4 linked regions of the Tribolium castaneum genome follow. The protein of the gene in region 4 purifies or fractionates together with the protein of the main gene of each other region. This does not show direct contact. Links are inferred from orthologs where the notes say so. Each region holds a gene or a part of one and is shown on either strand. Other genes may lie near its edges. The genes, in order: TIP41-like protein, coiled-coil domain-containing protein 6, Prp16 and PPP4R2r.

Region 1 (6,881 bases), about 5.2 Mb from region 4:
GTCAATTTATACAAAACACCAAGCATAAAAATACAAAAAAAAACACATTTGTTCGTCCAAAGGAGAAAACAATGTAAAAATGTCATAATCGATCAAAACAAAAAAATTACTTTGATTCGTTCCAATGCCCGGTTTCTTGCCCTCTCCGCCGCTGTTTTCCCATCATCTTCCTCCTCTTCATCATCCTCATCTTCATCTTCGGAATCTTCACTCCCCGACTCGGATTCCTCCTCTGAACTCTCTTCCTCCTGCTCGGCTTCCTTCTTCTCTTCTACTTTCGTTCCAACGTTATTTGTCGGTGTGTTTTCTTCCGATTCTTCGTCATCTGAAGAAGCATCCCATGCGTCTTTAACATCATCCTCTGGTTCCACTTCTTTCGGAGGCTCTTCCTTCGGTACTTCCGGTTCCGCAACAGGAACCGCTTCTTCCGCCGGTTTTGCTTCTTCTTCTTCCGGTTTGGCACTTTCGTTTTGTTCTTTTTTAGGCTTTGAAGGCTTGATTCTAGTGCCAGGTCTGGGTTTTTTCACTCCAACATCGGGCAGTTCGACCCCTTGGGCCTTCAAACTATCAATAAGTGCTTGAGCTCTTGCCCTATCAGCTTTTTGTTTGGCTGTTAAAAGTTTGCCTTCAGCTTTCAGTCTTTCTTTGCGTTCCTTTTCTTTTTGTTTTTTCTTTTCTTTGCGTTCTTGCTCGAGTCGCAATGCTTCAAGACGGGCCTTTTCCGCTTCTTCCTCCCTTTTGATCCTTTCTTCTTCCTCGCGTTTTAATTTCTCTTCCTCTTCTTTGAGTTTCTTCAATGCTTCTTGCATTGCAGCAATGGTTTTCTTGCCAGGACCTGAAATTAGGTAATAAAACGAAATGTAAAGACACAAATTGGAGTGAACCTTTTTTGGGCTCTTTTGCTTCTTTTTCTTCTTTTGCGCCCTTTTTCTTCTTCTTTTTACTCTCCTTTTCGCCTTCTTCCTCAACTGGTTCAGTGACTGTCTCATCGGGTTTCTGCTCCTCGACTTCCACACTATCCTGTTTCTTCACTTCTTCTTTCTTTGCAATTTTCTTCAATTTTTCACGTTCCTTTTTCTCTTTCTTCTTCTGCGCCGCTGTTTTGACGGTGCTTGTCACTTCTTCAGTTTCTTCCTTTTCTTCTGACGGTGCTTTCTCATTTTGCTTCTTTTTCGGTTTCTTATCTTCCGGCGGTTTCTCTGGCTCGGTTTTAGGTATATCTTCTTTCTTCACGCCTGAATATTCTAATTCTAGTTCCGCTAATACTTTTTCAATATCTTCGTCACTATCGTCGCGTTTTCTTCGCGCTTTTTTCCCTTTTTTAGGTTCTTTAGTCCTGTTTTCGTCACTGCTTTTATTTGATTTCTTTTTAGTGTCTTTTTTAACAGCCTTAACATCACTATCACTATCACCGTCGTTAGTTGGATGGTCTTCAGGTTCACTATCTTCCACCTGCAGAAGTGCAAACGATTTCTGGACTTTTGTAGTTGGCACTGGGTCATCGTCTGAGTCGTCAGACAATTGGGCTTTCTTCTCTTTTTTCGGTTTTGGGGCTGGTTTTTTTGCCACTTCACCATCGCTATCACTCTGGATTTGCTTTGACCTACATTAGGAAAACACATAGAATGAGTCAAATTGAACCAAAAAATCCCAAACAACGTGAAATTGCAGCAAAAACTACGTTTTTACAGCTGAAAATATGCCAAGTGTTTCGCAACAAACATAACCTCAATGGAGTGACAAAAACTCCAAATACTTACTTAGAGGCTTTACTTTTTTTGTTGTTTGCTTTGTCGGTTGATTCTTGCGTTTCTACCTCAGGCTCAGACTCACTAAAAACGTTTTAATCATCTAAATTGACATTTTCTGTTGATTTGTACCTGTCGTCGCCTTTTGCTCCTTTGCGATTTTTTTTCGCTTTGCCCATTTTGTAAACTTACGTAAATCACTAGTACAGACTTTATTAGTAAAAATTATCATAAGTAAACCAACAATTGTGAAAAATTTTAACAATCTGGCATGAGGTTTATAAAGGACATGCTTCAATTTAGGGACTTTAGTTTTGTCCTTGACCATAGGATAATAGAGAAGGTTGGGGATTTTATTTTTTATGACACAAATTTTGAATTTCAAAAAATAATTTATTAAATGCACTTATTTACAGAAAATTAGTCGTTTTTGCTGGTACTTTGCATGGAACACTGATCTGCGGCCCCTTCTGTTGGTGGTTTACATTCACCAAAAATCAATTTCTCGTTAACTGCAGTCCTTACAGGCATATGGGGGGATAAGACATTTGGGTTTCCAAAAACATTCAGTGGTAACTCGACATCCCCAAACGCGCATTCCTTGTTTGTGAATTCCCTCAGGATGTAGTTTGTGCTAAATTCGTGGTAAAGCCTGGTATCATTTACTCTTAACATAACGTTATCTACCCTTAGAAAAAATCTGAGGAGAATGAAGTAAGAACTGGGCATTACTCGCTAAAAACACACTTAAACAACAAGCATTGCATAACACAACAAATTACGATTTTTATAGTGCATGAAGAAATCCCATTATCGTGTAACTCATCCTCATAAAGCATTAACTCTTGATAGAACAAAATCTTTTCCTTTTCCTTTAGTTTCTCAATATTGATCCGTTCCTCAGTTGGCACTACTTGCACAGGACCGGTGATTGTCCCTTTATAATCATTGCTAAACGTCCAATCAAACGGTTTAATTTTTTGGCTCAAATGCTCAGGTGGCCTGAAAAAACCCAATCAATTTTTTCCCCCTCAATAAACTACAATTTTCAAACCTTGACTCACTCCACTCCTCGGAACAAGCCACTTTTATGGGCAGTTTTCCATTGGCGACAGTTTTAAGCGCATCCAAAGCATTAAACTCAATTTGCCCCCCTGAACTGTGTGTAAGAGTTAAAACATTATTTGGAAACACCATTTCAGGCAAATGCGGGATATCCAGAGTTCGGGTGTATCTTAAGCACAAAAATTAGCCCAAACTTTACCTCATTTCCAAACTTACAAGCAAAGTAAACAAGGTTCTTGTGACAGGTCTTTGCATTTTTCTGCACTCGTACAAATCGAGTGTAGAATATGCGATTTTTTGTACTTTATCACCCAATCATGAAAAATGTGCTCTTCGGAGTTTACGGGTAGTCTTTGGATATCAATTTCGTTTTTATTTGGGGTGACTGCAGACATTATAACCTAAAAAATGACTGACTTGGAGACAGTGACAAATTTGACGTTTGCACCGGTTTACCTCAATTTTAAGACAAGGGACTTGTCTTTAATTGTAAAAAATGGACCCTGTGTTCTAATATCTCACTTTACTCAACTTTGAATCGTTTTATTTGCGTCCTATAACAGTGCGCTTGCGCCAGACGCAACGCATCAGCGCCAAATTTAAAGTTTGCAAAAAAATGTTTTCAAAAAAATTACATAAAATTCGTGTTTTTTGCTTATAGCCTTGATATCGCAGATTAACTTAAAGTTAATCAATTGTACGCAATGCAATAAAATAAACTTGAAAATTGGTAAATCATTATTCTGTTATTTGTTTTGATTCGTTGGCCGCCCCATTATCGAAAAAGCCGTCCCCGGAATGATAAAGCATCATTTGGGAGCGCTAAGCGCATCTGTATACTTCCAAGATTCAGTATCATAAAGCGTCGCGACGCTTTCGCGTCTAGTTGACTCCAGCCCAGCTTCAAGGGTGATGTGTTCGTGTTTGTGATTTTTGTACGCAACCATGGACGAAATGATGGAAACTACGGTTTACATAAGCTCTCCCATGGACTTTAAAACACGTTTTAAAAATTGGTGGAAAAGACTGCGCTTGAAAGCCGCCCTCCAACACATCGGGCTTTTGATAACTCTCATGGGGTACACAGTCGCGGGGGGATTGGTACGACTTTTGAATCAATTTACTTAATCGCGAAAGTTTCAAATAAACGCGATACCAGACCGAAGATCAAGTTTTTATTGGTTGAAAAAGTTTCTTCGTTAGTGCTTTTCGTGTCTCGGGAAATAAACAGCCACACAATTAGAAATAAAACAAATTTACGCAAACTATTCTTAACTAAATTTAAAACGAGCAATTCAGCCCACTTTCCTTGTGTAAATATTTCTCTTTCAGATTTTCCGACGTTTCGAATATCCTGCTGAAATTTCACGACTTAATCATTTCAACAACACGCTCTTGCTGAAAAGAGAGAATTTTATACAACAGATTGTAAATAACACCGATTTGAAAAATTTTGATTACTTTATATCGGGCGAATTGGAGAATTACGAGAAAATTCTGCAAAGTGCGTGCAGAGAGGGAATACCATTATTTCCCAAAGAACAAGTTGCGAAATGGACCACGTTGAAAGCGGTGTTTTTTTCATCGACCGTTTTAACGACCATTGGTAAGTAAACAGTTTCACCACTCGACTCGAGAGACCGTAATCAGTTAATTTCCGCATTAATTTGTTTGCCAATTAAACAATCAATCATTTTTCGCGAATTGTAGTCAAATAAAAGTGGTCCAAACTCGTTAATTCAGAGTTATGGTTTCACTTCCGTTTTATAAATGAGAAATCGAAAACGTGCTACATGTTCGAACACAGGATTATTGCTGAAAAATTCAATCCTAATTTAATTGAATTATAAACACGTTGTTATTACACTGGCTCAAGTGTTCCAGGGCCGTAACGAACATATGAACTAATTTAGTACACTAAGGATGGCCCAATTAAAATTTAAAATTAATCACAAGTCTGCCTAACAGGTTGGTAAAATTTTAACACGTGCAAAGTTACACTGAAATTTTAATCAAATGTGACCAATAAAAATTCATAAACGTCGCAACCGACCAATCACACTTGACTCTCTTATCCATTTATTTTTACGGTGTGTATATTGAGCCACATTTTTCCCAAACAAGGGATAATCAAATGTATCATGCATGAGCCAATTTGCGAACTCGCAAGTGACAAAATAACGAAAATTGAGACTTGGAGTTATCCTTTGAAAGGCCCCGTTTTTATCAAATAAAATAATACCGTGTAACACGCGTGTTAGCCCGAATATTTATTTTATTTTCGCGCCAAGCGTACCAAGCCAAAAGTGGGAAAAGTTGCGTGTTGACTTGTTATAATGGCTTTTAATAAGCACAGGCATTATGGAATCAAAAAGTTTCAATCACATTAGTGATCGATAGAGGGAATAGCAGGGTTTCTTGTTTGCGGATAATTAAATGTAATTCAAAACATTGGTTTGTTTATTTGGAAAATTTATGGTTTCAGCGAGTTGCCACATTTCCGGCAAAAAGCTGAAAAACTGTTTTTCTTTGCAATTAATTTTGTATTTTTGTGGTCGTAACCCATTTTGGTGGATGCGCCAGCACTGAAATATCCTCTATTTACTTGTAATAGTTATTGAGAACGCTATAAATTTTTTCTTGGATAAACATAAGTGAGCGCAGCATTGTATGATGATAAATAGTCACGCCACGAACTACGAAAGGAGAATAGGTATCAGGGATTTGATTTATGGGCACTTAAATGAATGACAATCAATATGTTAAAGTTTTAAAATAAAATTACTAGAATTTTATGTTTTATTCGTAAGTAACCAAATAAAAACAGCACTTACCTGTTTCGAGATATTTATGTTTCCAACGTCTAGAAACGTTTAGCCAATTGCTAAATTTCCGCTTTGTAACAAGAAATATTTCAATGAATTTATTTTCAAAGTTTCCGACAGAATACAGAAATTTGCATTTTTTTATTACTAGTTTTTTCGTCCAAAGGAAAGTCAGAGAAAGAAAAATAAATCGTTGAATATTTTGAAGCGTTTTTTTATCTGTTGGCGTTTGCGAAAGTAACAATTACTCGTGACTGTGCAGCTAATGTCAATATTTGTCAGTGATGCACTTCTAAAAATTACCAAATTTTACGACTTATCATGAACTTTTCTCAGCGCCATAAAATAAGCCCAAGACGACCGCAAGATCTGCAATATTTTAAATTACATCGACTCTTCTCTAACAATTACTTACGCTTGTGAAAGTTATTACAGTAATTGGAAACATTTTCCCGACGAAAAGTACGATCGGTTTTTGTGTCCTTTGCATGAAAAATAGCAGATCTTTCTTAAAACTTTGCGGACATTCGTACCACCGACTTTCATAAGCCGAATAATATAATTTTGCGCTCTGGAATCAGTTGATTCAAATTTGAAGATTTGTGCCTTAATTACCTTCAAAACGACTTCGTTTCCAAACCAACAGTACAGAAAAATTTGCGTAAAAATCGCCACTTGGTAAAATAACAGCATGACAAAAGTTGCATTCAAAGTTTTCACCAGTGATAATAAAAACATGGTTTCACACAAAACTGAGACACTGGTGGCGAATTGCACCAAAACAATGTTGCGGAAAACTAAACCAATAGTTTCAGCTAGTCTATAAATAATTTCTTATTTTTTTAACATACAAAAAAATCGACTCACTTTAAAATTAATTTATGGTGGTGTATACACTTGCCTAATTCACCCCTAACTGTGTCAGAATCGACACTTTCTTTCCCCAAAAGAGACACTTGGTTGTTGAGAACGTCACACTGGGCCCCTGTTTGTACCATTAACATTGCGAAAAAAGTATCCATGCAAACGTTACTTAAAGCGTGGTAAATGATAAAAATACTTTGCCAAATGTAAGTCAAAGTGTAATTTCGGCCCGAGAGATAATCGTAAGGAAACCAGGCATTTGAAGGAAAACGTCTCTCACCATCCATAATAGGAAAAAGAATCCACATGACTAGGGTCAAATCAGCGGTGAGGAAAAAATAGTAAAAAATAAATCTAGCCCAAAAAATCCCATTTTTGA
Region 2 (8,060 bases), on a different chromosome or scaffold from region 4:
GGCCTTCAATACAATAAAATAAAATAAATTACCTAGTTGCAAAGGTGTGCCCATTTGCATCCTTAATATGAACGATGTCGAAGGAACCTGGGTGACGTTCTCGGCTCACCACTGTACCGACACGCCCCAAGTTACGACCTCCAGTAATCATACACAAATTACCGGACTCAAATTTGATAAAATCAAGAATTTTCGAAGTGGCAATCTCCAATTGAATGGTGTCATTCACTTTGATCATGGGGTCTGGGTATCTGATAGTGCGTCCGTCGCGGGTCACCAAGAAGGGAATGCCCTTGGGGCCTGTCTGTACTTTCTTCACTTTGCACAATTTATACTAAAAAATATTAATAATAATAATTACCAATAAAAAATCAACGACTGAGTTTCGTAATTTTAGTGCACAAAATCAGATGAGTAAGATGTGTTCATTAGGAATCACATTTAGGGGGAGCGAAGCTCAACCCTGTGCCTTTTATCGATTTTCATCAATTTTTCCCTGAAACGGTTTAAAAAAGCATTCACTCACTTTGGCCTCTTCTCCAGTAATGCGATGGATTGTGAACCTTCCCTTAACATCATAAATCAAGCGGAAGAATTCCCCAGTTTTCTCAATAGTCACAACATCTAAAAATCACTATTGCGGTCCCAAAACTTGGACAAAAATGAAAACGTACCCATGAAACCCGCGGGGTAGTTGGGGTCTGTCCTAACTTTTCCGTCAACTTTAATCAATCTTTGCATAACAATCTTCGTCACTTCTGAGTTGGTCAAGGCATACTTCAGCCTATTTCGCAGGAAGATAACCAAAGGTAGAGACTCCCGTAGCTTGTGGGGGCCGGTGGAAGGCCGAGGGGCGAACACACCCCCCAGTTTATCCAACATCCATGCTTTGGGCGCATTGAGACGCTTCAAATGCTTTTTGGGACCTCGCGCCTAAAAAATAGTGGTTAGGGCCGGAACGCCAACAATGTCATAAAAGCACAAAACAATCACTTTACAACCTGGAAAAACACAACTCGCGAAAATGAGCAGGAAAAACACTTTTCGCAGAAGGTGGTTTAGTTTTTTCGAACAAAACTAACGTGTTTTTAAATGTTGACATGACGATCTTTTTTCGACAATTATTGACTTGTGAGGCACTAATACGGATAAATAATGAATACAATGTGAGAAACAAGGTTCCAATTGTTAATTTAACGTAATTTGGGCCAAATTTAATAATAAATAACACGGATGATTGTTGATTTATTAAAAAATCGGTACGGACTTACCATCTTGACACTTCACCCGGATGAAAAGAGAAGGATCGGTCGGTAATGCAGTTAGTAGAACAAACAAAAATGGCGTAAGAGATGGGCGCAAAATTTAAAAACGATTGCTTTTAAGTGTTTATTATTATTTAAAAACCATTACATATCATTCAACCTTATACAAATTATTAAAATAGAAAATAATTCGTAGCGTAAAGATTACAGGAAATTCGTAAGCCAGTTGTTTATTCAGAATCATTTGTTTCTGGGACTGTTGGTGCAATAGGCCAATGTAATCTTTTTTATGATTCACAGCGTTTACTAAATAGAATAGCTTTTTTTACAAAAAAAACAAGATAAAAACAACATTTTCAGGAAAATACATCAGTTTACTAAAAACATAACAAATATCTCAAACTCACATTAACAAAATGTTATCCTAGACTAACATATGACCCTGAAATAGTCACCGAAAGTTTTCATTGGCTTTTAATTTAGTAAGGGAAGAATTTTGTTTAAATTTAGAAATTTGGCAAATCAAGATGATAATGTAATTCCACCAATGAAACTAATGAGTTTATATCCTAATATCACTTTTCACAATTTTTTTGAATTGCCACCTGTAGTGTCAATTTTTGAGATGTTAATCTAAAAAACACCTAACTCTAAACTAAATAGTCTTTAATTCGTAATTTCTAGTGTTATGAATGTAACAAATCGGATAAATAACCTTCAACATTTCAATTAAACTTACTTAATTGAAATGGTGTTACAAATAAAAAACGTGATATCCATTACTTAAAACGTAAGCTAGATTTATTATTGCATGACAAAATAATGAATACTAAGAAAACAAGTTTGGCAGAGTGCAGTGTACAAACTAAACGAAATTGTTAAGAAATCGTGTCACAATTTTAATTAACAAAAACTCACATATCACAAACATTGTGAAAATTGTTGGCAATGGTTCAACATGGCATCGGACCTGTGACAACTGCCGTTGCTAGATTGAAAGATCACTTGTAAACATTCAAATATGGAAATATTTTAGTAGAGCTGACCACAATGAAGCTCCCTTTATCATATAACATCATTAAGTACACATATTAAAAGCAAAGCAGATCCCGAAATTAATCAAAAACAGCTGCCCGAAAATCGAAAAATCCAAGTATAATATATCTAAATAAGAAAAAATTATGTATCCATTAGTTTCACAGTAACACCATGTAGTTTTATTAAATTTATTTGTTTCGAACTTTAAAGCCCCTATACAAATAACATGCAGAGAAAACCAACAAATGTTCACCACCTGCAAAACGAAAGCCCATCAACATGATTACTTATTTGTCAACTCGACACCTTTTTTATCTTATTCTTTAGTGATTGAAGTATCCATGGGACTAGCGGGCTGTGGTGCTGGAATCGCCGGCTTGATGAATCTTTCGCTGGTCCTTCGGTGGGCCGGGGCCGGGGGGCTGCTGGAACCCACGTTGTGCAAAGCAGGCACGCAAGCCGCCGTTAGTAATTGACCGCAAGTCGGACAGCGTGGGGGGCCCACGATTAGCGAGTCGCGCGGGGATGGGGCTTGCATCGACGACAAACCTAAAAACATCACAGTATAACACCTACATCCGAACTAATTGTTACAAGGGGTTCACGGATTATCGATTAATTGGTGTTAAAAATAAAAAAACATAATTGTTACAGCGAAGATACGCAAATACACAAAATAAGACTTTGTATTTTTTGAAATAACTAACATAGTTTAATAGAAGGCAGAGTTTAAATATATATTTTTTCGGTATGTTTTTTATAGGAACCCGACAATATCTGGTTTTATCTTACAATTAGGAGCTTAAAAAATGTTTTTCCCACCTGGACTCAGGGGGCGACTCTGGCTAGGCGACGGATTGTACGGAACCGGCGACACCGTGTGCTGCCTGGCCCCAAGCACTTGCTCGTTGTAATGCCTCTCCTCCTCCATCTCCAGCGAGCTTTCGCTCTCCGAGAGGTGGCGACAGAGAGCTTCGCGCCTCTCCACCTCCAACTGCAGCTTCCTCTGCAACCTCAAGTTCTCCTCCTTGATGTTGCGTTCCTCTTGCGCGTATCTTTGCATCTTCTGGGTGTGCTCTTGTTGGCTGATTGCTAATGTTTGCCTCAAACGGGCCACTTCCGAACGGAGAGTCTGGATGTGGGCACTGAGATTGGTGGCAGTATCGCCGTTGTTGATGTCACGAGGACTCGCCGGATCTGAGACCGGTTGGTCCAATTTGATCTGAAGCATTCGCTTCTCGGCCTCGAGCTTGTCCATGCGCTTCCAGAGCTTGTTAACGAGAGCTTCTTGCTCCTGCTCAAGAGTGTTCTCAAGCTCGACCTAATTATTAAAGTATTATAGATATTACACAAATGAAACTAACTCTTGAAGAAATAAATAAATTATTTAAAGTACAAATTTAATTTTTTAAATTTAATGTGTAATTTTTTCCCCATGTATCTTACTTTTTCGCGTCTCAGCTGCTCCAAGTTGCTCTGCTTGGCCAGCGTCTCAGCTTCTAGTTTCTCAATTTTTCTCATTAGACGGTTAACAAGGCACTCTTGTTCCTGCTCTAGAGTTTGTTCAAGTCGGCACTTCTCCTGTCGCAGCTGCGTGAGTTTCCGCGAGAGATCGTTGGTAAGACACTCCTCCTCCCTTTCATAGTGGTGGGCTAAAGACTCCTTTTCCTTCTTCAACGCTTGAATCTTCTTAAGAAGAGTGTTTGAAATAAACTCCTCCTCTTGCTCAGCCTTGGCTTGCTGCAATTTTGGGTTAGTAAACGGCAAGGCTTGAAGGTTTTGGACTCACGATAATGACAGAGGCCTGTCTCAGGCCGCGATTTTCCTCCTGGAGCGCCTTGACCCGCAGCTTGTAGGTCTCGAGTTCGACTTTAAGCACCCGATTTTGCTGCTGCAAGCTTTCTATCCGCTTTTGGAGCTGCTCCCTGGTTATGGGGCTGGGGGGCATCATGATGGGGCCCCCGTCAATGCTGCTCGAATCAGACTCACTCGCTGAATCAGCCATGTCTTTAAACATAATTCAACACGATCAAATTAGGGTAGGAATGGGCGAGATCGTCATGGATTTTTTTCAAGTGTTGAAGAATTTCTTCTGGGGTTTTTTCAGGTGGGTTTGTTTGGCATAGAGTTAGAGGAGGGAACTGTTATTTTTAGTTAAAAATACATAAATTCACACCTTTATTGCTTCACTGTAACTATAAAATTAAACAATTAGCAATAAACATGAGGACAGATGACAATTTTTGGTTTCGTTTCTTGACAGCCGCCATGCACATTGCTGCCAATGCGGAAAATGTTACCAAAAAACCGGCTGGAGAACGAATTATCGAAGGTAATACGCCTTCAAATCGGATGAACTTTACCTTATCGCAAACAAATTGAACAACAAGGCAATATTACACGTTTCGGAAAGTATAGTAAAGTAAAAAATTGCACAAAAATTTTCAATTTAGGACTTTTATTTTCCTTAGTAACTTTTTTGCAGAATCGAACTAAGAGGTGGCATGATCCATATAAAAAATTAAAATACTTAAACAGAAAATTGGAACCTAAAACTGAGCCACAATATTTATTACCCAACTTTTATCTTCTTTAGCAAAAATATTAAATAATGATTCTTTTTTTTATCTACTGTATAAGTTATTCAAACTACCAGTAGTACAAAAGAACTAATTATTTTAAAAAGGGGAATTTGTACTTGATATTATCACTGTAATATCGCTGTAAAATGTGTATTATTTCGCATTTAACAGTGAATCTGTGAGGTGAGTATGTGTTTTTTTTTAACTCAAGTGATCAGGTTTCAAATTACAAGAATGCAGTTGACATGTTTAAAAATAGCAAACACTTTTTTGTTAAATAAAAATTACACAAACATAATAACAGCAGTCAGTTATCACTGCATGTAATTATGGTCTATGTTATCATACTTGTAAATTTTTACCCAAGTACTGTTATGTGACGTTTTCAAGCTCGTGACTCACTAGTCCAAGAAAAATGAACCACTAGTCGTTTCGTGTTTAAATTAAGCTTTACTATTTTTATAGATTATTAAAATTGTGATGCCACTAGAGACAACCAAAGACAATGTTCGAAAAAACTCAATTACAACGTCCATGTCAGCCCCTTTGTTACTGTCAGGACAAGAAACGTCAGAACTGTCACCTACCAGAAGAAAAATCCATAAGAAGAGACTGACCATTGTAAGGCATGGGGACAGTTTGGAAAATGATAGATTTATGAGTCAGCCCCACATTTTGAGTTACTGTAATGGGGAAGTTGAAGTGAAGCAAAGAAAACCCAATTCATGTGATAAGTTAGATATGGATGCTATGTCTGTTGTTAATTTGTATAAAAGTGCTGATGATTTAGATTCGGAAATGGATACGGGAAGGTAAGAATCGTCTTTGTCTGTTCGTTTAACACCTGCGGTTGTATTTGTTTATTTTATCTATTTTTACGTGCAAGTGTTGGCAGGTACTAACACTGTTTCTCTGATCATCTTACGCAAACAATAACTCAAGCCCAACATTTAACTCTACTACATTTTTTATTTTATTATTGTGTATACGCAAACACTGATTTGTTCCGAGTACTTATTTTAGAGCAAGAACTGCGACCTTTGTTATCAGAATTAGTAATAATAACGCTATTATCACCGGTTTAAATAATATAAAAAGGAAATGCAATTAGATGCCAGCAAAAAGTACTGCACTCATTCTTCTTTTAATGAATTTTTATTTGTGTTATAACTATTACAGTACAATAAAAATTACCTTAAAAATTTCCGACTTTTATTCGTTATCCGTTTATTAAAATTTAGTAAACTTTCTAAACCAACAAGAGGCACGTTTCTGCCATTAACTCATTAGCCTTTCGAAGTTCAGTCGATATTTGTTTTTATCAAAATGCGGGTGTGGTAGCAGACTAGCTTACTATACATGTTTTTAATATTGTTCCACATTTTAACCACACTGACGATATGAGAATCCTCAATCGATACCTCTGTTGCGCCCCGTAAGTCCCCAAGTGCACAAACTCACGTTCAAATCCCCTCGCAATTAACAAAATTAATTTTTTAGAGACTTTTCCGACAATCCCCCGAAAAACAAGCCTCGAATCATAATACCTGAAAGTTCACTCGAATCGCCAGTTTGTGATACTCAACCAAATCATAACGAATCTAGTCATAAAAGTAGCGAATGTCGTAAAAATAAAATATCGTGTCGTATCCCTACGATTTATTTCAACGACGGCATGAGATCGGTTGATTTTGTCCTCGTATGGGACGCCTTCAGAGAGGACGCCACCACACCAGAAGCTTACCAAAAACGTAAACTTTTTGAAAATAATTTAGTCAGGGACGGACTTGAATTGGAATATGTGCCGCAAGAAAGCAACGGTTTGAATTTTATTAAAGTAATAGTTCGCTACGTTTTGTGCCTCATTTCTAACGCCAAGTTGTAGATTCATGCACCAAAAGAAGTGCTGCGGAGGTATAGCGAGATCTTGAAGTTGCGCATGCCGATGAGAGAGGTAATTGTTTAATTTCTTTTTTTTATTTTTAAATATTTTTTTTTATTTGCTGTTACTACAGGAGTTGTGTAAATTGCCGAGAGAGTTCCGTCACAATCGTTTGTACAATGCCACTGCCTTTATTCGTCAGGTATTTTGTGTTTTGTATTAACAGAGTCAGCTTTACTAACTACGTTTCTGTTCTTTGGGCTTTTCATTTATAAATGACACGAACTGAACGCTGCGTTTTTACAGATGCCGGCGTTTCGCCAAATGCATTCGAGGACTAATTTCATAGTCGAAGGCATTACAAGTCAGTGGGATAAGCTCAAGAGTTACGTTATCGTCGACTCGGAGAAATTTCCCGAGAAAGACCAACGCTTTACAGCGATTTATAGCCGAGACAGAGAATATTTGTATGTTAGTTTTGAGTCATTAGAGCAAAATACGAGCGTTGTTTCAATTTTTGTAGATTCGATGTTGATTCCCCTTGTTTCTTCACTCCGGCCATTCACTCACGAATCGTTCAATTTATTTTGGACAGGAAAAGGTTCAGTGACAACCACCATGACGACTTTGCCTTCGGCATTGAGCGGCTTTTGAATGACAGTGTCTACAGTGCGGCGTATCCTCTACATGACGTAGGATTTTTAATTTTCCTAATTTTCGAGTTTTATTTAAATTAAAAAAATTCTTAGGGCGACTTGCGAGAGCCTGGCTCGCTGCGCTACCTCCTCTACAACGAATGGACAGCTCTCAGCAAATGGTACCGCTACCAGCCCCTCGACTACGTCAAAGAGTACTTTGGCGTGAAAATCGCGCTTTATTTCGCCTGGTTGGGTTTTTACACCCACATGTTGCTCCCAGCGGCCGTCGTAGGCTTAGCATGTTTCATCTATTCGTGCGTCACCCTGTATTACAACAAACCAAGCGAAGATATTTGTAACGGTAACTTCACCTTCAAAATGTGTCCATTATGCAACCACTGGTGTAACTATTGGGATTTGAAAGAGACGTGCACTCACGCCAGAATCACCTATCTGTTCGATAACGCAACGACCGTATTTTTTGCAATTTTTATGTCATTTTGGGGTAAAAAAACTACTTTTGGCATGAATTTGTGCGTGATTTAATCTTCCAGCGGCGCTATTTCTCGAATTGTGGAAGCGATACTCGGCGGAAATCACACACAGGTGGGATTTGACAGGTTTTGATATACAGGAGGAGCATCCGAGGCCGCAG
Region 3 (7,860 bases), on a different chromosome or scaffold from region 4:
TATTTCCAGCTTCGCAGAGTTTAAAAAAATGTATAACTCCAGTAATTATTAACTTAATTAACTCATAAAGCAGAGAAGTTGACTACATTTCCGTTAATCCAGTACAGTGGAAGTTCCAGGTCCTTCATTTAATTTAACATCTGCCCAATTTTTTCAGGATTCCTCGATAAAGGTAGCACGAATTTTAATTTTTACTTTATTCAATATGTCAAACAAAGGTTGTTAACATTTTATTTAATCTTTTGATTCATTTCATTCATCCGTTTGATTAAACTATTGTTGTAATATAGAAAATGAGCATTTTATCATAACAATTGAAAAAAAGTGTCATTTTGTCTATTGTTTTCTAACTAAATTTTTTCTTTGACACTACAATACTCGAAGAAACCTACGTCAAAAAATATTGCGCATCTGAAATATTTTAATCCGACTTATCTAAAAATCGTTCTCGTTTCTATGATAAGATAAGCGTGTGTCACTTAATTCAATTCTTTTCTCCGATTATTATCGATTAATCATGGCCTTACCCACAATAATAACAACCGAATTCTCTCTGATAACATTCAGCAATTCTTGTCGGACGGCAAAAACGGGCAAATATCGTCTCTGTTCGAGAATAGTCTTCTTCTTGGCGAAATCACTGGAGGCTTCTGTCGATTTCATATGTTCGGCGAATTTCTGATCGGTTTTGTAATCAGCCGTGTCGTCCTCTTTGTTGAATCGTTTATCTTCTTCGTCCTCCTTTTTCTTGATTCCCATGATGTTGCCGATTTTGGTGCCTCCAAGCTCCCAATGCTTCTTCTGAGCCTTTTTGCGCTCCTTCTGCTCACGGTACACCCGCACAAGGTGCGAGCCTTTGCGCGAGACTATGGCCATGTCAGAAGTGGGGTCCCTAGACAAATAAAAATACAAAATTTAATATTAATCAAAGTAACTTTTCATTTCATTTTCACCCTAATTGAATGATTTTTAAGACAACTTTTAATAAAATCTTGAAAAAAAAACAATATTTATTTAGTTAAAAAAAAGCTTAGACGTTAAAAAAATACGAAAACACCACTATCGCAGTCATTTGATGACTTTTCATAACGCTTCTGGTCGAATACAAGCTAAAAATTAGCCTAATTTTGATTTTTCGGTTCGTTTAGCAAAACGTGCGAAAAAAACTGAATTTTTAGATTAATTTTAGTAGAATATTCAATGTTGCTAACTTAATTTCAAAATCTCACACCACTTTGATTTACCTAACAGGAATGACCGGTTCCGGCTGTTTGGTGAAGACAATCCTCCCGTCCAGAAAAGGGGGCACAATATTGTGCACCAACAGATGGACCCGATCGATGGATTCTTCATCGTAGTCTTCATTAAAGTCAATGGAATGTACAGCCCCCGAAGTCAGCATTCTGTTCCTCTCCCACAACTCATTATCCTTATTGATCTGTCTTTGTTGTGCTGAAAGCCGCTTCTTCTTCCTTTGCTCCAACTGTTCTTCTTTTTTCTTCGTATATTCCTCACTGACGCTCGAAAAAGGGTTATTTCCATCATCGTACCCCTCATCCATATTGTACCATTCCCTGTCAATCCTCTTCTGTTCCTCCTCCCATAATTCCCTATCGACGGTGTTATCCCACTTGATAACCCCATCTTTGCCAGGCATGGGCGTAGCCCCACTCCGTTTCCTGTCTTTGGCCCAGGAATTGTATTTATGGGCCGGCGTAAACCTCGCACTCTCATCCTCGTATTTCCTTAAATAATTATATTTTATTAGCATCTATGGATTGGCGTGCTCAAACGGATCATTCAAAAGATTATTACTTGTTACTTTTGTTGCACCAAAACCTTTCAGAATGTTCTGACATTCAATATTAAAGACAAGTATAAAAAAATTATAAATAAGCGCTACAATATAAAGTATTTATCAGCAAAGAGGTGCATAGGGTCGTAAAATTAATTTACTTATTTTATTTTTCTACAAAACTTGACATGTTATAAAAAATGTTTTTACTCTTATTATCTCTTATATAAAATAAAATTAATTTAGATATAATTTATTAAAAAAAATAAAATTTGTTGTCCAGTGTTTTTTATAAAAATGTCTAACTGTTGACAAACGCTCTTGGCAATATAATAATTGTCGTCAGGTACTAATAAATCGATCCTTGATCAGTATTTAATTCATTTTTAAACAGCAAAAATTTTAATAAGTAAAGCACGCACAAAATTTTATTAAAATTTGTTCAGTATAAAGTACCCAGTAAAAAGTAGAAAAGTGTATATCCACAGCATCTAATTTCAATTTGCACGGTAAAAATAAGCAACAACAACGATTCCACTTTAAAAATTTTTTAAAAATTTGAAAAATTATATCTTTAAAAATTAATTATGGTTTCATGTTCATTAAAATTTAAACTTTTACGGATTCTAGATAGACTTCAGTTTGTTTTTATCAACACCTGAAGACAAATATTATCACTTTGTGTCTATGAAAAGGGAAGTCAATGCTTATTAAGACATAATATTGTATTAAAATACTATGAATAAAAATCAGTATTTCGTAAAAAAATTTTAATAAAAAAACGCTTCTACTAAAAAAAACTTATTTGTCGAACGAAACAATAATTCTAGTGCTATGAAGATTGACTCTCAGTTTTCTGTAATTTGAACTGAAGTGGACTTGAAGTTAAAGCAAGTTCCAAATTCTTCTTCAGACTTAGTTTAAAAATAAAATTGGCACTTTTTTATTCCTTCGTATCATTTAATTGTTGTCTGTCACATGATTATTTTGCATTTTTTGTTGCTTTCTTGTTAAAAATTGGAAATTGCAGAGTTAATTACGCACTTTTTGTCTTCACATTTATATCAAAAACTGTTTTCTGATACGGAATTTGACCCTGTTTCTGAGTTTTCGTATCTACATTTTCATCTAGGATTTTTTTGCCAACATTAATGACATTTTTTCAAAATAAATCAAACACTGGATCCAACTTTTTTTACTAAAATTTCTCCGAATAAATTGGCTATGATGCTAACGTTAAAACTATTTAACATGTCTGTTCAAAGAATCCCTTGCCAAAGTATTAACTGTGATCTATTCCCAATTTTAAAATTAAAATATATAAAAAAAATAGGTATTAAATTTTTCGTTTTTTTTTTAATTCGTATTCATTAACATTCATTCAGTTTAAAATCTGCAACAAAAAATAAATGTCCTATCAAATTTTATTGTCTTTTTAAAGATGTACAAGGGGTTCGCCAATTTCTGTCGGATGTTAGAAAAAGTTCGCAAAGTGAAAGAGTTTGAGAACCACTGCACTAAATAAAGTATTAATCTATTTTACTAAGAAAGATACGTAATTATATTTTGTTTCTTTACTTAATTTTGTTTGTACTTAATATTATAGCTGTTTTCAAGAAATGTATAATTTTTGGAATTTCGCTGCAATATCAGAAATGTTTATTGTTTCCTAAAACGTAACAAAAGTGTAGTCTGTTTTTTTTAATAAACAATTGTCACTGTCAAAATCAGAAAAAAATCTTCGTTGTATGGCGTTAATTGAAAATTTTTTAAATTTTTTACGTATGTACACTGAAAACAAATCATAGACCACTTTTTTATCTAAATTTTAGACGTAAAAAACCAACTATTTGTTATAAATTTATAAAATAACCCAAGTTCGTTTGTTCATTAAAACGTAACTAATTTGTTACAATAATTCAAGACTTTAAAACAAGGCTTTCAATTCTGCTTTTTATAAGCTTGTATTTTCGCACTCGTATTATTAAAAATTATACTGTGCATTTATTATTTTTCTGTGCATTTAATTTGTGCCGAAACGAAATCATTCATTCGTCCAAAGATCTAGTCATAGTCACCTTCGTTTACTCTCGCGCGAGCTTCGCTTCGACTCGTCGTACTTCCGTGACTTGGTGCTCCGCTCCGACCAATCCCCACCGCTCCCTTTGTAAGTCGAAGGCGTCGGGAAATCCCACGAAGACTTTTTCGAGGGCCCGACATCATCATCGTCATCCCATGACGACTTTGAAATCTCGTCCTTGTGTCCCAAATTCGGGGTCTTGGGCTCGTCTCGAAACCGTGGGGTCTTAGAACGATGCGAACTCTCCCTGTCTCGGTGGCGCCCCCTGTCCCTGTCCTTATCCCTCTCCCGGTCCCTATCCCTATCCCTGTGTCTGTCTTTAGTCGTCGCGTAAACCCCCTTCTCCTTCTGTTTGTTCGACTTGAGACGCTCGATGAGGCGCTCGCGGGCCTCGTCACTGATCCCCCCAGTGTACGTGGGGGTCTCGTTGTGGGGTGACCGGAATTTGCGACTGTCTTTTGAGTGTTTTTCCTTCAAGAGTGAACTTGAATCGTCGGTGTTGTCATTATCGTCCATTGTAAAAGACATTTTTCGTGCTGCTTCCTCCTTTTCGCGACGCTTTGCCGCCGCTAGACGGTCGAGGCCTAGGAGCGAAGGTTGGGGCACTTTGAATGTTGGGGGCTTCTTTTTTACAATCAGGCCGCCTTTTTGGTCACTTATGCCTTCCAGGCGGTGCAAATTCTCCTCAGATTCCATTCTTTTTTAATAACGCAAAAAAATGTTATGTAAATATAACCTCACTCTTAAACTCACATAACCTGAGTTTTTCACATATTGGTAGCAATTGGTCCAGTGGCGTGCAAATTTACGGAAGCAATAATTAATTTGTTTTTGGGTTACTGGGTAACCAAAGTAATAAGTATCACTTGCACTTACAAAAAGTAGGAGTTATTAATTTAAAATATAATTTTAAAACTATATTTTGCTTCAAAAATATATCATTTCTAGTTATTTTTATTTATGAGTTGTGGTACCTCCTCAAAAAGGGATTCTAAGCAGAGGCGTCTCATACATCTGGGGTGAAGGCAAACAAAATGCTTTTTTACTAAAATAACTGTTTATTTCATACAAAATTCATGATTTTATTATTTTCGCATCGTCTTCGTTTTTTTCCCAGTTGGTCGTCACAAGATGCAGCGCTTTTTCCACACTGTAATAATCCTTGTTTTTCTCTTTTTGCATATCATCATCATTCGGAAGGGCAAAATGAACAACCGGACTTATTAAATCGCGATGTACCGGAGGATCGTCATTTTCCAACACATAACTTATCAATAAACCGCATATTATTGTAACCAACGCTCCAACTCCGGTGTAGTAGTAATGTGAAATTCGAAATAAAAAAAATGGTTTCGGTTTTTCTCCATTTTCGGTCCTGTAATATAAAAGATGAGATAAATATGGTCTTTAAATATTATGTGACTTACGCTTGAGTAAAATTGCTTAGTAATTGACTTATAGTCGAGTTTTCTATCGTAATATCTTCTGTTGCCACACTTTCCAGTGATGATAAAGTGGAATTAAGTGTGGTAAGAGGTGAAAGTGTTGTAAAATTAGCCAAACAACCATCCACAGACGTCGGTTTTGGCACATCAACTATGCTTCCTTGTGCTTTGTAGTACTGGGCCATTGTGACAATCCATGAAGCAAAAAGTAGTGCAATAATTGCTCCGTACAGAGAACCCTAAAGGTGTAATAAAATATAAATTTGAAATATTGATACGAGCCACGAAACAATTGCTTGAATGATCTCCTTTCGCATTTTTAAGAAAAAAAATCATAAGAATTTTTATTGGTGACATGTATGAAGTGTTATATTAAAGACTTTTGGACAACATGCTAGTAATGTACCAAACGAGTGTGAAATATAATATTTAATTATTAATTTAAAGAAAAAATTATGCAAAAACTTACTTTACTTGACGCTTTCGGGAACAAAACCCCTAGTGTGAACATGCCCAACAAAGGCCCTGAGGTAACCCCTGCCAGACTTATAGCCAGGGCTAAAATCCCTCCAAGATGCTCAATAACAAACACTAGGACTGTACACACAACTCCGGTTATAACCACCAACAATTTCAAAATATAAGTCGTGGTTTTCTCTTCCACATGCCCAATTATTTTCGAAATAAAATCCTCATACATGGTCCCTGCCAAACAGTTAAGACAAGCGGATAAAGTGCTCAAAGCGGCGCAGAAAATCCCAGCAATGAAAAGTCCCGAAAGTCCCGGAACATAAGATGCAACGTCCATAACATAGTAGGGCAAAAGTTGGTCGTTTTTCTGCACAGTTCCGGTTGTGAAGGGGTCACAGTTGGCGTAGCGTGCGTACATCATAAGGCCAGTGAAGACACTAAATGACGACACGATGGATATTCCAATCGAAAAGTAAATAACACACCTGGAAAAATTTTGACCAAAATTATTGGCAAAGTCCAAGATTTGGGCTTTACTGTTTTGATTCCTGGAATGTGGAGACGGAGAGGAACTTCTGGACGCAACTTTGGTGAATCCCCACCATCGAGAGCCATCCTATGGACATGCCGATGGACGTAATCCAGAACGAGTCCCGTTTGGTGGGGTCCGGGTCAAAGCTGGAAACGAGAAGAAAGTCACTCTTGAAAATTTGTACACCTAAAAAGTATGAATAAATATTATAAAAACTATTCATCAAAACTCATAGTAGTGTTTAAGTCCTAACGTCTCAGATGTTTATCAATCTTATATCTCTATTTGTCCTGGGGATACATAATGGGAGGAAGGGTCAAATTTAATATCTTTAAGAGGATCATTTTTTTTGAGTTCTCGGATATAACATATTTACCTATTTACCTTATTTAAAAAGCTATAATAACGTCAGCTCTTTGTCGTTTGAACTTTGGCCAAAAAATAAGTAAAAGTTAATAATAATTATTGTTAAAATAACACTTTTAACTGAGAAAGAACACATTTTAATAAAAAAGATATTTAGCTGTATCCATACTTATTAGCGACCCTGCATATGAGATTTATTAGTAATTATAAGTTATAAATAATAAAAGTATTTGTTGGTATTTGAATAAATACTTGTAAATTTAGAAGTTTGAATGTATTTAAATATTTAAACTATATTTATCGAGACACTTAAATTCTCTTAAATTTAATTTTATTAAAAAAATTTGATTGTATTTTTCACAGTCAAACTTTGCTATTTCGATCTTCGATAACTCGATTTTTTTATAGTTACAATTCCATAGCATGTAAGCTGCAAAATCCTAAGATGTTATTATTCGATAACTCGAACAGTCGAACTTCGATAATATGAATTTCTTTACACGTCCAGCCCTTTTGACAATCTCTAGACCGTAATCTGTCTTTCTAGCGACAATTTTTTTACGTATTTTTGGACAAAAGAACGTTTAAATATCGTTTGGCATAGAATGATAATACAAGTGTTGTTACTGAATATTTATTAAAAAATAAATTATTAGGTACTTACTTAATAAATATTGGCATTGGCAATAAAATCCAATTATTTCAAAGACTAAGCAAAATCGACTAGTTTTATTTAAAACTAAAAATTAATGGAATGTAATACTTTTTGGATCAAATATTTTTTGGCCTTAAATTTAAAACAAATTTATTTAAGTATTTTAACACACCAGCAGTAAAGGTTTAATTTTTCATTCAAGATAGCATAACCTTCACCATTCTAAAAATTTTTGTAAGCCCCACTCCAAAATTAATTTCTGAATTTGTCCATTCGAATTGCCTATTGTTTTATTCTTAACATCACCTTATAAACGACAACTATTTTTAAAGGAAAGGATAATCATATTTTGTATGAGTATTTATCCATATTTAACTGTATTTATTAACATTTTTATATATCTAATTATATTTTTTGGTATTTGTTCTATTTACCTCGATATTTAACTTATACACGTAATTGAAATAAAATTTAATTATTAAAAAAATATTTTACGACTTAAAAATATTTACGAAT
Region 4 (7,703 bases):
AGGTTTCAATAGATAAACCATTTATTCAGTTCTTTATTACGTACAAATTTATTTACCTACGCTCTACATACAAATTTAAAAAAAACGAATTTTGTTGACGAATCAGACGAACCCTACAGATTCTAGTAAAATGAAAAAACTTCGTTTGCATAATTACACATTGTATAAATACTTAACAATTAAGAAGGCGCGTTTGTTAGCCTTGATCGTTAATTAAGGAAAAAAATTATCTAAATTATAAAGGTGAGTCTGACGTAGCTTCAGCCCTGACAACCTCTTCCACTTTTTCGCTAAACTCATCCACATCCATCGCAGTCGCCGCCTCTTCACTTGCCTCTTTCACCCCTTCTTCGGGAGCAGCTTGAGATTCTTCACATTTCTCAGTCTCTTCAATTTTCGCTTCAGCTTCGCTTTGTGACGAGTGCACCTCATCAATTTTGTCAGAAGACGTAATTTCGAGGTCTTCTTTAGTTTCTTCCTGTGGTGTTGGGGAGGCATTTGAACACTTGGTGGTATCGACAGTTATTTCTTCGCTTTCGTCCGGATTCTCGTCAAGTTTCTCTTGCGATGTGCCAACTTCATCCTCGTTTTTATCGCACTCAGTCGACGATAACTCGCTCTGAGGGACCGCATCGTCCACAGTTTTCTCCTCCTTACTTTCAACCGATTCCTTGTCGTCTTCAGCGCTTGAGGACGAGTCTGCGTCCTCGATTTGCTGCGACGAAGGCGTTTCCTCTTGTTTAGCCTCAGATTCTTTGGAAGGTTCGCTGGTTTTGTCAGATTGGTCCTAGAAAAAACATGTTTTCCAAATTAAGCTGGCACAACTGCCACACTCGTAACTCCGAACTGAAAAAATCCCCGATCCACTTATTCATCAGATTATCAGACTTTTTTTTGGTTTGCTATTATTGTTGACGAAATTTTGCTTAAAAACGTAAAAATCAATTGGGCGAAACGAAAAGAGACAATTTTAGCAAAGTTAAGAAACAGTTTTTAGCCTAAAAACGTGCGTAAACGCGCGGAAAGGCAATACTTTGGTAAAAATCATAATGTAAAACATGCACATTTGCAAGAATAAAAAATACTGCAAAAAGAAATGTGTTTTTCTATTTAATTTTGTAATTTTTTATTCATTTCAAAGAGATTTTAAAAATTAAAACATACACCATTTCCAAACACATTTTGCGTTTCTTCGTATATTTTTTTCAAGCAAGTTGACTCAAAAATAGTAAATCATGTAAAACACCATCAATTTTTTTGAAGTATTTTGGATCTTTGCAAAATAAAGGAAACTGGTTCAAAGACGAGCAAAATCTAATAAAATGAGCAAAAAGAATATCTACTACTACACTATAATATAATTTGTTTATTGTTAAGCCAATTGTATGTAAATTATAGTACAATTTTTCGAAAGAAAAAATTATTTCCGTTTTTAAAATACACCTAAATGCTCAAAAAAGGTAAAATAGCACCATAGCATAATCCTGGGTTTGTTCTGAACAAAATTTTATAAAATATTTGCATTTCTGACTCTAAAACATGCTCATACACACAAAAAATACAGAAAGAATATTTCCAGCTTAATTTTTTGGTCTTGTCTAAAGAAAAAAAATACATGAAAAAGTTAAAAAATAACACCATTTCCAAAAAAATGTACCTTTTCAGATTTTTTTCTAAGAAATTTTGCACAAAAACTAATAATGTTATTTTCAATCTAATTTTGTAATTTTGCTGTAATCTCGAAAGGGAATAAAAAAATAACAACACTTTCTAACACATTTTGAGTTTTTTCAAGTGCAACAGTTAAATACCATCAGTTTCTTTGAAGCGTTTTAGATGTTGCAAAATAAAGGAGACAGGTTTAAAGACGAATAAAATCTAATCAAATAAGCTAAAAAACATCTACTAATCTACTACTACACTACAACATAATTTGCCAATTGATACTAATTTTAATATAATTTTTGCAAAATTATTTTCGTTTTTAAAATACGTCTAAATCCTCAAAAAATGTAAAACAGCACAATTTTTAGCGTAATTTGGTGGATTTTGGACTTGTTTTGACCAGAATTTTATTAAATTTGCATTTCAGGCTCTAAAACATGCTCATTCTCACAAGAAAAAAAAACTTGAAAATGGTGAAAAATAACTCCAAAAATGCGCTTTTACATGTTTTTTCCTAAGAAATTTCGGTTTCTTCTTGAGGCGTTTTAGCAAGATTTTGCAAAATAAATAAAACTAAACCAAGCGAGACAATCTAAGCTGCGTATTTTTTAGATATTCTTTCAAAAGGGAAAAAATATTTCGCGTTAAAAATACGTTTAAATGCATAGAAAATGCATAGAATCACCATTTTTAAAAAAAGCTGGCAAATTTTAAGCTTCTTTACAACAAAATTTTACGAAATATTTACATTTCGGACTGTAAAATATGTCCACACGCACAAAAAAGGAAGAAATAATGATATTTCCGACTTTCTTTTTCTTATTTCTTAACTTTCGGTCTTCTCAAGAAAATTTTGTTAATATAGCTTAGTTAATACTTAAAAAATTAAAAAAAATAACACCATTTCCACACAAATTTTGCGTCTTTTAGGGTATTTTACTACGAAATTTTGTTCAAAAATGAGCAAATTAAGTGAAACCATCAATTTTCATTTATTTTTGTATTTTTTTGGCGCGTTTTAACAAGATTTTTCAAAATAAAAGAGGCGAATAGAACGAACAAAATTTTGTAAAATCTTGAAAAACACATTGCATTTTATTCAAAAACGTGCTTGAAAAGCTAAAAATAACAATTTTAAAATCTATTTACGGTTTTTTGACTTTTTTTACGAAATTTCGCTCCTAAACTAACTACATCGAGGGATTTTGTGATTTTAATGGTTTGATAACAGTTTTTTAATTTAGTAATTTTCGAAGAAATTTTGAAATTACGAAATCACAAAACTTGGTGAAATTTTGCGAGGCCTGGCAACACTGTCCTGAGTGTGACGTGACCATTTAGCAATTAATGTTGCCAACTTCAAACACATGGACACTTTGATCAAAACTTGGTACTTACACAAGACTCGGTGATTTCTTCGGTTTCTGACGAAACGACCGGTTCGACACTGTTTCGTCTCTTTTGGACCCCTGCAGGTATGGCAGTGATGGTAACCGAGACATCCGTCTCATCTGGGTCTGATCTGGTGCAAGTATTTGATGGCACAGGTTCAATCGAAACGTAGGGCTCCTCTGAGCTTCGACACGTTATGACAGTGTCTTGAGACGAGCTGCAGGCCACATCTGGTAGCTTAGACGCGGTGACCACCGTTTCTTGTACAATTGGCTGGGTTTGAATGTCATTACTGTTGCTATTCTCATTTTGATATGGAACATTTTCGTTCTGTAGCAATCTAGGCCAAGCTGGCGCATCGTCCATTTCTTCCACGTTGATGTCATTGCTGCTATTGCTAGTTTCCGGCAAATGTTCCGACTCCAACCCGTTCATAATGCCCTCCCCGTTCTCCGTGTTCCTCCTGCCCCCAGGTTCAGTGGTGCTCACAACTAGGATATTCTTCTCCAGGGCCCTCATGTACTTGTCTATCCGATTGTACTCCTTCCTCGGAGTCGTCAACAGCTCGCAAATCCTCTGTAACGTGAAGGGGGCCGCCGCAAACGTGTCCAACTTCTCTAAAATAAAATTCTTCATAAGGTCGTAATTGAAAATGTCCACGTTGGGACAAGGGGGTATCTCGACCGAAGGGCACGTCTCGTAGAACTCCGTTATAACGTTAATCATCTTCTCGCGAAAGAGGCTCTTTATTGCCGACCACTGGTACACAGGGTCCCCTGTTTTCGCCACAAAACAAAGGTACTCCTCCAGTTCGCGCGGTATGTCCTTGGGCTTGGTTTTCGAGAATTCCTCTAAACTGTGGAGTATTTCTTCGGGATTTTCCATTATTGTTATTGTTTTTTTCGCGAAATTTTAGCACCACCGATCACCATCTACTTGCGTCAACAAGCGCACCAATGACAATAACGAAGTTAGCGCCGGTTCAATATCATTCCACTCAAAGTAGGACGTGATCGACGAACTGCGCAACCGCGCGCCTATTTTAAGGACGTGGTCATTTATCAATTTAAACGCGAGACAATTTTATTTGATTTTAAAGTACAGTCATTAAAAATTATAATCAGCAACAGCGCAAAGTCTAACACGTGTGCAAAAACCGGGTGAGCGACACCGAGATTTCGCTAAAAATATTTTCTCTGCGAACACTCGGATTTTTTGTATAACTGGTTGCATACCCTGTGGTTTTTAATTCAAAAATTTTTTTTAATTTGAATTTAAAACACACCTTAATTATTTTATTACGTGGCACCTGGAATTTAACGTTACGAAGTCATACTTTATACTCTTTTTATTACGCGTTGTTAAATATTTACGTAAGAAATAATCGTTATTTTTTTGTAAACAGGTGTCGCCCACCGAGCTTGAAAATCTGCTCCTGGAGATGCCCGGAGTGGCCGATTGTGCTGTTGTGGGTATTCCGGACGCTTTGGCCGGTGAAGTGCCCCGAGCTTTCGTCGTGCGCCAACCCGGGAGCAGCCTGAGTGAAGACGACATCCTACTTTACATAAACCCCAAAGTGGCCCATTACAAAAAAATCGCCGGCGGTGTTAAATTCGTCGAGTCGATCCCAAGGAACCCCAGCGGCAAAATCCTGAGAAACGAACTTAAAATAAACGCTTAAAATTCATAATTGTAAGAGAAAAATACCTTGTAAGTTTTATTTTGTACATAGCTTTAACGTGGCTTATGAATATGATATACTCTGTTTATCTTTTATAATACCGAATTGTTTGTAAATATATTATTTGTTATGTATTTGTATCATTTTGCGCACGTATGAGGATTATTTTCTTTTGTAAGGCAGCCCTATACCCGAGCGTAATCGCTTTAAAAGATTTGTGTTAATTAGAATTTAGAACTCTTACAGATGCAAGCGGGCGACTTTTGCAAAAAGTAACACACTGGCCCAGATATAAAAACGAATCAACGTATTGTTTCATTTTACTCTGCTTGTATGTGTTTATTTAATTATATAATAGTTACAGTAAAGAAAATAGATAAATATTTTCTATGTGGAACTAAAAAGAAACTAGCAACAACAAAATTGTTTACCAGCACACAGCACAAAACAGAAATTATTGTCGGTCCGACAAAAACTTTTACTCCTTTCAACAAGCAATAAAACTTGAAGGGCTTGTAGCGACATGCTATTTAGCAAAAACATAAAATGTAAACATTCAAGCAGTTGTTTTACTTCAAAGTAGCCGATGTTGACTAACTTTTTTTGTGTGAAATTGATAGGCCATTAAATTTAATTTATATACTCTACACCGTATTAGCTCCGACTCATGAGCTTCCGACTCATATTTCTTCCCACTGGAGACTTTTGTGCAAATTTTGTTATTGAAAAAATCTTGGTTCAAGTTCACCCGTTTCGAATGTCGCTGCTTTGTGGTGGAAGGAATAAAATAAAGGTTACACGACCACCTCAATATTTTTCTTTTAAATGGGTGTGGTGTGTGTCTCTTTGAAGATAACGGATGTTATAACGAACTTCCGGATATAACGAACTAGATTCGACTTAAAATGTGATGCGATTTTCCGTTTATAACGAACTTTTTATTGAATTTTTAACAGAAAACATTTTAACTGGTGGAAACGTGTGTTTTTAAACCTAATTACAGTGTGAATTTGAGAGTTGTGCAAATTTTTTATGATAGTAGAGATCTAAAAAGTCAAAATTAATCATCTTACTTTATATAAACTTTATTTACTATTTTCACTACTTTTTACTCCACTTCAGCGTCTAAAAATTCGTCAAAAAGTGCAATGTCAACTAGATTTGCGTCTTTTGAGTACTTTTTCCCAAAGTTTACATTCGGTGGTATTTTTGCCCACATTTTCATATTTTTTTATGGCAGAACTAAACTCAGAGATTTTTGTTGTTGCCAAATTCATTCGCCGACCAAAACTCTCTATATCTCAGAAACTATAAATATTCGGATAAAGTAAGTTGAGCTATTTTTTACAATTTTCACATTTGAGGTCTACTGTAACACCTTATTTACACAACTATAGTATAATTCACACAGTATACATCTGTAACATGTAATATATGAATATATTACTATTTCGCAAAGGATTCAATTTATTTATACTTATTTATTTAGTCTTATTTCAAATGTTAAGTCAAAATTACTACTTAAAAGACATTTTTTTTAATTTACCGCTTTTAGCGAACGAATTGATTGTGATGCATTTTCTGAGTTCGTTCTAACCGGATACCATTGTATCGGGTGATTCAAAAATATGTGGCATAATTTTAACCACGAAAACCCCTCTAAAAATGAAAATAGATAGGATAGTATTTACTGACCCACCACAAAAAATTGAAAAGTTACAATTTTTCAGAAATTGGTATGGAAAAATGGTTTTTTGAAAATATTTTTCTTACCGTTCATGCGATTATTATGAAATTTTGCATGCCAAGAGACACAAAGACGCACTTTGATATGGTGTAAATGGAAATCTTGTAAAAGCTATACATTTCCGATGACAAGGGGGCCCTTCCAGTTTTTAGGTGATAACTCAATTTTTCGGCCTATAAACACGTATTTTTGATACCAAAAATCAAAAGCCCAATTATTTTTTAATAAAAAAGGTACTCTTGCTTCATGTCGTCAAACTGTACCGTTCTCTAGTTATTTGGGATTAAACTAAACTCTACACTGCTCTGCAGAATAGAAAAGTATAAATTTTGAGCGTACCATTACCTTGGAAACAGTTCACTACGAATGACACAGCTGTCATTGCTGTCACATTTGATGTCAATTTCATTTAATCCAAAGTAAATTTTGATTATTTCTTGATGATAATAGTAAAAGACATGATTATGTGTTGGAAGAAATAATGCATGAGCTAGCGATAGCCATCCCGGCATCACAACTTGATCTGAGACTACACCACAAGGTTTTCACACCGTAAAACGATTTTCCCTCCAAATTGCTGGTTTTATCAATACTTCACTACTTGCATTATAAAACTATAATCCAAATGAAGAATTAAAACGATCAGAGACCAAGAACACAACCTCAACTGTAACAAATCACAAAATAAAATCTTATCAACTATTTGTAATGCCGTTGTTGCAATTTTTCTTTAATAGGAAGTTAATTTGATCCACAAAAGAATAACGCACAGCCTAATGTTAATTTACATTTTTGAAAATTACAAGAGCTTCGACAACAATGAGCACAAAAGCAACAAATGCCGCCAGCGTGCTAATTGGCGCCAGTGCTATTTTTCATAAGCGCGAATATCAAAAAAAATATGAATGATGAAGTCAATGTTTTTTTATTAAACAACAATAATAACCTGGATCATTTTTTTTTTCTTGACTTACCAGTATGGGGTGATCAGGGCATCATTTCCAAATACTAAAAGAATTTTTTAATCGTTATGACTTTATGATTTTTTTTTCGCGCTTACAAAAAATAGCACAGGCGCCAGCTAGCGCGCTAGCGGCATTTGTTGCTTTCATGCTTATTGTTGTTGAAGTTCTTGTAATTTTAAAAAATGTAAATAAACATTAAACCGTGCGTTATTCTTTGCAGGTTTCAACAACCTGTGGATTAAATTAACTTCCT

Evidence for each region.
Region 1: the proteins of PPP4R2r (region 4) and TIP41-like protein purify together in Homo sapiens (affinity purification with mass spectrometry; 5 studies listed by BioGRID and IntAct, counting the BioPlex papers as one, with this or other methods). This does not show direct contact. The link is inferred for Tribolium castaneum from reciprocal best matches to the Homo sapiens genes PPP4R2 and TIPRL.
Region 2: the proteins of PPP4R2r (region 4) and coiled-coil domain-containing protein 6 purify together in Homo sapiens (co-immunoprecipitation; 3 studies listed by BioGRID and IntAct, counting the BioPlex papers as one, with this or other methods). This does not show direct contact. The link is inferred for Tribolium castaneum from reciprocal best matches to the Homo sapiens genes PPP4R2 and CCDC6.
Region 3: the proteins of PPP4R2r (region 4) and Prp16 purify together in Homo sapiens (affinity purification with mass spectrometry; 3 studies listed by BioGRID and IntAct, counting the BioPlex papers as one, with this or other methods). This does not show direct contact. The link is inferred for Tribolium castaneum from reciprocal best matches to the Homo sapiens genes PPP4R2 and DHX38.

Annotation. Positions count from the first base shown.
Region 1 is NC_087402.1:4,516,378-4,523,258, forward strand, and holds TIP41-like protein, read right to left. Parts: upstream 3,417-6,881; 5' UTR 3,270-3,416; intron 3,215-3,269; 5' UTR 3,209-3,214; coding exon 3,030-3,208; intron 2,983-3,029; coding exon 2,803-2,982; intron 2,751-2,802; coding exon 2,531-2,750; intron 2,484-2,530; coding exon 2,169-2,483; 3' UTR 2,121-2,168; downstream 1-2,120. Other genes in the region: eIF5B (eukaryotic translation initiation factor 5B), read right to left, coding at 111-835, 885-1,603, 1,761-1,832, 1,881-1,927; TWiK family of potassium channels protein 9, read left to right, coding at 3,759-3,914, 4,146-4,419; odorant receptor Or1, read right to left, coding at 5,948-6,007, 6,054-6,209, 6,254-6,458, 6,506-6,881. UniProt on the Homo sapiens protein: May be a allosteric regulator of serine/threonine-protein phosphatase 2A (PP2A). Isoform 1 inhibits catalytic activity of the PP2A(D) core complex in vitro. The PP2A(C):TIPRL complex does not show phosphatase activity.
Region 2 is NC_087398.1:5,838,435-5,846,494, reverse strand, and holds coiled-coil domain-containing protein 6, read right to left. Parts: upstream 4,615-8,060; 5' UTR 4,321-4,614; coding exon 4,093-4,320; intron 4,044-4,092; coding exon 3,750-4,043; intron 3,625-3,749; coding exon 3,126-3,624; intron 2,853-3,125; coding exon 2,620-2,852; 3' UTR 1,376-2,619; downstream 1-1,375. Other genes in the region: RpS4 (small ribosomal subunit protein eS4), read right to left, coding at 33-334, 527-624, 675-933, 1,272-1,274; subdued (anoctamin-4), read left to right, coding at 5,366-5,697, 6,386-6,722, 6,771-6,839, 6,901-6,969, 7,074-7,234, 7,291-7,459, 7,517-7,910, 7,960-8,060.
Region 3 is NC_087394.1:24,669,556-24,677,415, reverse strand, and holds the start of Prp16 (pre-mRNA-splicing factor ATP-dependent RNA helicase PRP16), read right to left. Parts: upstream 4,751-7,860; 5' UTR 4,572-4,750; coding exon 3,874-4,571; intron 1,746-3,873; coding exon 1,245-1,745; intron 893-1,244; coding exon 528-892; intron 1-527. Other genes in the region: sodium-coupled monocarboxylate transporter 1, read right to left, coding at 4,950-5,250, 5,303-5,559, 5,790-6,276, 6,329-6,469. UniProt on the Homo sapiens protein: Probable ATP-binding RNA helicase. Involved in pre-mRNA splicing as component of the spliceosome.
Region 4 is NC_087402.1:9,724,344-9,732,046, reverse strand, and holds PPP4R2r (serine/threonine-protein phosphatase 4 regulatory subunit 2), read right to left. Parts: upstream 4,086-7,703; 5' UTR 3,943-4,085; coding exon 3,064-3,942; intron 788-3,063; coding exon 236-787; 3' UTR 4-235; downstream 1-3. Other genes in the region: uncharacterized protein LOC107397720, read left to right, coding at 4,463-4,738. UniProt on the Homo sapiens protein: Regulatory subunit of serine/threonine-protein phosphatase 4 (PP4). May regulate the activity of PPP4C at centrosomal microtubule organizing centers.